Pelodiscus sinensis: one gene and its partner. The protein of the gene in region 2 interacts with the protein of the main gene of each other region in a biochemical or structural test. Links are inferred from orthologs where the notes say so. Each region holds a gene or a part of one and is shown on either strand. Other genes may lie near its edges.

The links.
Region 1: the proteins of CASK (region 2) and CASKIN1 interact in a biophysical measurement, tested with the Homo sapiens proteins (2 studies listed by IntAct, with this or other methods). The link is inferred for Pelodiscus sinensis from reciprocal best matches to the Homo sapiens genes CASK and CASKIN1.

The regions. Positions count from the first base shown.
Region 1 is NC_134726.1:38,596,613-38,600,357, forward strand, and holds the start of CASKIN1 (caskin-1), read right to left. Parts: upstream 2,874-3,745; 5' UTR 2,544-2,873; coding exon 2,450-2,543; intron 1-2,449.
Region 2 is NC_134711.1:194,356,606-194,360,350, reverse strand, and holds the start of CASK (peripheral plasma membrane protein CASK), read right to left. Parts: upstream 2,187-3,745; 5' UTR 1,630-2,186; coding exon 1,571-1,629; intron 1,183-1,570; exon of another isoform or gene 1,168-1,182; coding exon of another isoform or gene 1,148-1,167; intron 1-1,147. UniProt on the Homo sapiens protein: Multidomain scaffolding Mg(2+)-independent protein kinase that catalyzes the phosphotransfer from ATP to proteins such as NRXN1, and plays a role in synaptic transmembrane protein anchoring and ion channel trafficking.

The DNA of each region.
Region 1 (3,745 bases), on a different chromosome or scaffold from region 2:
AGGAAACAATCAGACCAGGGTTTTCTTTGATCACCAGGCAAATGTGATGATGGGGGGAGGGGGTCTCTCCTTATCTCCCCAGGGCCGTTTGTGCCAGAGAGCTTGGGCATAAATAGCTGCTGCTGGACAGGGCAGGATGGGCTTAGATAGGGCACCTGTAGGTCGTGACTATGGTGCAATGGCAGAGCTGGGTTGGGGGGGCCACAGGGATTTCCCTACCCCCCTGAATCTCCCCAACACCCCCCCAGTTTTGTGAACTATGGTGCCATACAGCCCACCTTCACCCTCACGGTCTCACCCCTCATTGACCCTGACAGCCCCCCCCCGGTAAATTTGAACACCCCCCATTTCAATTCCTGGGGGGCCGGCCTGGAGCAGCGAGGCCTGGCCAAGCGAGAGCTAGGGGTGGGGGTGTCAGGGTTAAGAAGGCACCAGCAGGGTCACAGCTCGGGTCAAAGGTCATCGCCAGACTATACCGGTGGCTGTGGTCAGGACTGGGGCGGGGGGGGCGCCCCACAGCACCTGCCTGGCTCCAGCCTGTGCTGCGCCCTCGCTCCCAATCCACATTTAGAGGTTTCCCACCGGCTGGGCCCTGCTTGGCCTCCAGCCGACTGCACCCAGAGCTGCTCCTTTGCCGAAAGGCTGCAGGTTCATTTCCCCCCTTTCCACTTCAAACTCTCCCCGCCCTCAATTAATTCAGCACCAGGACGAACCCACTGCTGCTGCCATCCCTGCCTGAAACACTAGAGCCGCACCACCAGCTGGGCTGGGCTCCGGCTTGAACCCGGAGGGGGGAAAGGGGAGGACAAGTGGTTGCTTGCTTGGGGGCTTACACATGAATGAAACAGCCTGGTTTGCTGCTCCATCTCGCTCCCACCCACTTGATGTGAGCCTGACAGGCGGGGGGGGGAGGGTGCATGAGGCAGGGAATAAATGGGGCAGGGGGTGACGGGGAGAGTGGCGCTGAATTATTTTCTGCGCTTGACTCTAGTTCTAAGCCCCGCTCCCAACACGCAGGAAAAGCCTGTGTCCATGTTTGGGCAAAACCCAGCTGCAGTGCCACTCGGGGCCCCGGTTCCCAGAGCGCAGGGCCCTGCAGGGCTGCAGCCCCACTGCCCCCAAAGCCAGCTGCAATCAAATCCGGGGGCCTGCCCCCCAGCCTGCCGAAGGCAGGGGAGCGGCTGGGGGAAAGGGCCAGACAGCTGTGTGACCCTAGCAGGCATGCAGCCGCAGCACAAGCGGGCGCCCGTGGGACCGAGTGGCCGTGGCACAGAGCAGCCGGCGCCCGCACACCCCATCCCGGCAGGATGGCGAGCTGAGCGCCCGCTTTCCCCTCCCTGCACCCCTCCCCCCGCCTGACAGCTCTGGCGTGCAAGCCCAGCGAGACGCCCTGCCCCCCCACTGGTTTGGTGAGGAGAAAATCCCAACAAGCCTTTAAAGACCCCAGGGGCCACCCCAGCTGGGAGGGGGGAATCTCCCCTCCCCACCCTTGCACACTGGTCCACTGAGGGGCAAATCCAAAGGAGCCAGGGGCCATCCCAGCCCCACACCACACCCCCGCCCCCCGCACATCGGGTCATTGAGGGGCAAATCCCAAAGAGCCAGGGGCCACTCCAGCCCCACACCGGCCAGAGGGGGGGCTCCCCTCTCCTCCCCCCGCACACTGGTCCACTGAGGGGCAAAAACCAAGGAGCCAGGGGCCCCCCCAGCCCCACACCAGCCAGAGGGGGGGCTCCCCTCTCCTCCCCCTGCACACTGGTCCACTGAGGGGCAAATCCCAAGGAGCCAGGGCCCCCCCCCAGCCCCACACTGACCAGAGGGGGGGCTCCCCTCTCCTCCCCCCGCACACTGGTCCACTGAGGGGCAAAAACCAAGGAGCCAGGGGCCCCCCCAGCCCCACACCAGCCAGAGGGGGGGCTCCCCTCTCCTCCCCCTGCACACTGGTCCACTGAGGGGCAAATCCCAAGGAGCCAGGGCCCCCCCCAGCCCCACACTGACCAGAGGGGGGGGCTCCCCTCTCCTCCCCCCGCACACTGGTCCACTGAGGGGCAAATCCCAAGGAGCCAGGGCCCCCCCCAGCCCCACACCGGCCAGAGGGGGGGCTCCCCTCTCCTCCCCCCGCACACTGGTCCACTGAGGGGCAAAAACCAAGGAGCCAGGGCCCCCCCCAGCCCCACACCGGCCAGAGGGGGGCTCCCCTCTCCTCCCCCCGCACACTGGTCCACTGAGGAGCAAATCCCAAGGAGCCAGGGCCCCCCCCAGCCCCACACCGGCCAGAGGGGGGCTCCCCTCTCCTCCCCCCGCACACTGGTCCACTGAGGGGCAAATCCCAAGGAGCCAGGGCCCCCCCCAGCCCCACACCGGCCAGAGGGGGGGCTCCCCTCGAGCATGCACAGCCCCCCCCCCCGGGCCTCCGGGGGTCCCCGCCCCGCGCCGCGGGGCCACTCACTGGCTTTGCCCGGCTTGGGCCGCTGCAGCAGCTTCTGCACCGTGCCCACGTCCTCCGCCTTCACCGCCTGCATCAGCTCCTGGTCCTTGCCCATGGCGCGGCCGGGCGCGGCGGGCCGGGGCCGCGCTCAGAGGCCGAGCATCCTCCGGCCGGGGCGCGGGGCCCCGAGCCTGCGGCGGGCGGGGCGCGGGGGCCGCTCGGAGGCGCGGGCGCCGCAGAGCCCGGGCGCGGCGCGGCGGGGGGAGCCGGGGGGCGGCCCGCGCTGCAGGAGCCCCCGGGGGCGCCCCGGGCTGGGGGCGCGGCCGCTCCCCGCTAGCGGCGCCGGTGCAGGGCTCCTGCCCCCCTGCGCCGCGCCGGCTCCTCCATGGCGGGGCTGGGCTGGGGCCGCCGCCGCACGCGCGCCGCTCGCTGGCTCGCCGCTGCCTCCCCGAGGCGGCTCCTCCCTGCCCAGCCGGGCGGCCGCGGCGCCCGCCCGGGAACCCCCCGTGCAAGGCCGGCCGGGCCGGGACCACCCCCTGCGCCGCGGGCTCCTGCCCCGCCCTGGGGCGCACGGGGGGCACCCGAGCCCCCCTCCTCGGCGGGCGGGGGATGGAATGGGGGTGTCGGTGCACCGGGGGGCCTCCTTGGACGCACTGTCCGGGGGGATGGAATGGGGGTGTCGATGCACTGGGGGGGCTCCCTGGACGCGCTGTCTGGGGGGATGGAATGGGGGTGTCGGTGCACTGGGGGGCTCCCTGGACACGCTGTCTGGGGGGATGGAATGGGGGTGTCGATGCACTGGGGGGCTCCCTGGACGCGCTGTCTGGGGGGATGGAATGGGGGTGTCGATGCACTGGGGGGCTCCCTGGACGCGCTGTCCGGGGGGATGGAATGGGGGTGTCGATGCACCGGGGGGGGCTCCCTGGACACGCTGACTGGGGGATGGAATGGGGGTGTCGGTGCACTGGGGGGCTCCCTGGACACGCTGTCTGGGGGGATGGAATGGGGGTGTCGATGCACTGGGGGGCTCCCTGGACACGCTGTCTGGGGGGATGGAATGGGGGTGTCGGTGCACTGGGGGGCTCCCTGGACACGCTGTCTGGGGGGATGGAATGGGGGTGTCGATGCACCGGGGGGCTCCCTGGACACGCTGTCTGGGGGGATGGAATGGGGGTGTCGGTGCACCGGGGGGCTCCCTGGACACGCTGACTGGGGGATGGAATGGGGGTGTCGATGCACCGGGGGGGCTCCCTGGACGCACTGTCTGGGGGGATGGAATGGGGGTGTCGGTGCACCGGGGGGCTCCCTGGACACGCT
Region 2 (3,745 bases):
ATAATGTATTTGCACACAAAATAAGTCATTTTACAGTGTTGGCTATAACCACTAGACACATATATTATGCCTGTTATGCCCTTTTTACTACCCATAACTATGTATGAGTACTACAATTCACACACAATACTATCACCTGAAGAAATCTTGTGACAACACAACACATGATCAGAAAATGTTCTTCCTACTGGTATTAGTTTTGTCCAATTTCTTAACCATAGCTTTTTACCATCTGATCAGCATTAGTTAAGCCATTTTTTCTGCTATCCAACAAAAGCTTCTTTAAAGCTTTATAGCTGACAAGGTGTCTTATAAAGGCAATAGGTGCTGTTAAGACAATTGAGCCCTATAATAAACAATAAAATGAAAAGTGATCAAATATTTGTAGTTAAGAACAAAGAAATCTGATCTTAAGACTGACATGATTGTTTCCTCAGAGTTACACTGTCATTGGAGAAAGATGAGTATTTTAGCTCTAGTTTTCAAATCAAACAATTACTGACATTTAAGGTAAGTCATATTGCAAAACATTAAAAAAATAAAAGAACACTTTTTTTTTAAATCAAGAATATATTGTAACTAGTGATCCTTACACAAGGCTTCTAAAAACAGTGAGCAACAAAATGAAAACAGTTTCACTGCTGAAACACCTACAACCTCAATTTTCGAACAAGAAATATGCATAAAATTAGGAAGTTATAAGACTGCAAATATGGTGCATGTCCTTTTCATATCCATTTTGCAACCAAAACATCTATGCCCTGAAGATATGAAATGTGAGAAGACTGATAAAATGGGTTTCAATACTGGACTGTCACAGAAGAGGGGGAACTTCAGCTTCAATTTTCCATCAACGTCCCGATCAGACTGAGTCTCTGCATTTTTTCTAGTATAATTACCCAACACAGATCGATAAAAAAAAAGGTGGAGGACTCGAACTGTCAATTTCAATACATCCTACCCCACTGGTGAACCATCAGCGGTGCCACGTTAACAGCTATCCCAACTTGGGTGTGATGCACGCCTTCAACATCGGTTTAACAGCAGTTGCATAATAAGCCCCCAAAAGGCCAAATTCTTTTCCTGCGTCGTTGTTCCGAGCGGGCGGTGGGCAACGCAAGGGGCTCACACGGGAGCTGAGCATTACCTGAGTATCATCACCGGCATTGCCACTAGCGAGCTGGTTACTATGCAGCAAAGCACAAGCAGGCACCTGGCGCCCCAACGCGCAGATGCCCCCACGGAGAGGCGGTTCTACGGAGGAGCCTTTCCCTGCTCCACAGAGCCGGGCTGGGGAAAGCGGCGGCTGCTCTCGGCAGCCTGGCTGGGAGCCGGGGAGCGCGGCGGCCGGAGGAGAGAGACCGGGTCGCTGCTCCCCTCCGCGCCCATGCTCCGAGAGGCGGGCGCCGCCGTGAAGCCACTGCGGCCGCACGTAGCGGGGGGAGCGGGGGACACACGGGCACGGCGGCGGCGGCTCAGGTGGGCGCCGAGCGGAGCATCCCTCTCCCCGCGCGCAGGGGCCGGGCCGCTCGCTGCTGCTGCCGCCGCCCCCCGCCTCCGCGGAACTTACTTGCCGATCACCTCGCAGAGCTCGTACACGTCCTCGAACAGCACGTCGTCGTCGGCCATGGTCCAGGCGGGGGGGGACCCGCCGGAGAGGCGGCCCGGGGGAGGGGGGCCCGCGGGCACGATCCCCTCCGCGCTCCCCGTCGGGCACCACCTTCGATCCCAGCCTCCGCCGCCGCCGCCCGGGGGCTCCCGCGGCCACGCCGGGAATCCCCGCTCCTCCTGCGGGCCGCGGCCGCCCCGCGCGCCTCACGCTGGCTCCGGGCTCCCGCGGCCCCGCCCGCTTCAATCGCTCGCTCGCTCCCTCCCGCCCTTCGCCGGCCGCGGATCCGGCTAGCGGGGCGGAGCGGGCACCATGCAGGGGCCGGGTAGCGGAGGAGGCGGTGCGCGCGCGCGAGAGAGAGGGGGGGAGGGGAAGGGGAGGCAGGCGCGACCCCGAGCCGCACTCCGGGGCTAACGGCGGCGATAAAGCGCTTTACCGGCCGGCCGGCGGGCGCGCGCGCCACCACGGCCACTTCCCCAGCCCCGTCACGCAAGAGAGCAGGCGCGCGCGCGCGCGCCCCCCACCAAGCAAGCACGCGGGCACCTTCTTCCCTCCCTCGCCACAAACGCGCGCAGAGCCACGCCCACTATCCCCCCGGGAAAACTGGGACTGGGCGCTGTGCGCAGGCGCGCCGCGGTGCCACATGACGTCATGGGGAGGGGTCGAGCAGGGCGGAGGGGGTAGGCGGGTTCCCATGTGAAGCTCGGGGCGGGGCCATCCCCCTGCCTAGTTTCTGAGGCAGGAGGCGCGCGCTGTGTGGCTCATTGAGGAGCGGGGAGGGGGGAGTCGTAGGGCCGGGAGGCCGCGCCCAGAACCCGCCGTGGGACCAAGGCGCTTGTCGGCAGCAGCGGCCGCGTGCGCTCAGCGCCCGGGGATAGTAGAGCGGCGCGGGGAGCAGCTGCCGTAGGGTGTCTCCGCCCGACGCGGGGGTTTGACGGGCGCAGCTTGGCCGGGCGAGGAAGTAGCCAGCCAGCCAGCCAGACGGACCGTGCAGCAAGTGCTGGCGGCGTCCCGCGGGAACAGCCCGAAGGGAAGAGGAGAGAAGACCTTGCTAATCTCACTCTCAATGACTGCTGCCAGGTGGCAAGGAGGTTCACAGCGACGTGCAGTCGCTTTTAAGGTGGCAGCCCCGCCTCTCGCCTTTGCTTGTCAAATGCTTTGCTCGTAGTCCAGTGAAATGAACGTTTAAAGCGCCATTCGTTTCCCAGTCCACAAGTTGGTCAATATCGTTTCTAGTAACAATCATGCCAGCAGTTTCAGCAGGAATGTATAGAACCTCGTTCCCCTAAAACAGGGCACAGTGGAGCCCTTTTAGTTATAAAAGGGGAAAAGTCAACCTCTCCAACTCAGGTTTCATCCAAATATGAATGGTTGATAAGAATTGATCACTGATAAGAACTGATCATCTGAAGAAGTGGGCTGTGCCCACGAAAGCTCATCATACCATCTACATGTTTGTTAGTCTATAAAGTGCTACCAGACCATTTGCTTGCTGTTTTTCACTGATAGGGAGCCATAAACTGCACAGAACTGTGTCAGGCTGCATAACACTGATAGTATCAGAAATATATTCTGATGTAAAGAGAATGCTAGTGAGAATGTGACAAAGGTGTACATATTTACTTTCTCAGTCTCAGCGAAAAATACATTGTGGACCTATTCTGCATCTTAAAACAGTAAATGTCTGACATGGTCTGGTGCTTGTCAGGAGTTTCCCAGTCAGTTCCGGAGACATCAGCAATAAACCCATAATAAGAAGCCTAAGTAATTCCTAGACTGTATCAAATAACTCAGTCAACTGGGCTTGGAAGTATGAGATGTAGCATGGTAGTCTGTGGAGTATTACTACTCCATTTCTCAAATGCAAGTCAGAATCCTCTCAAGTCCAATACAAATGAGATGTCTGTATCACCACCTTAACACTCCTGTTCCATAGTGAACCAAATCAGCTAGTAATAGAAATGTAGCTGTGTTAGTCTGGGGTAGCTGAAGCAAAATGCAGGACTAGATAGCACTTTAAAGACTAACAAGATGGTTTATTAGATGATGAGCTTTCATGGGTCTGGCCCACAAAAGCTCATCATCTAATAAACCATCTTGTTAGTCTTTAAAGTGCTACCTAGTCCTGCATTTTGC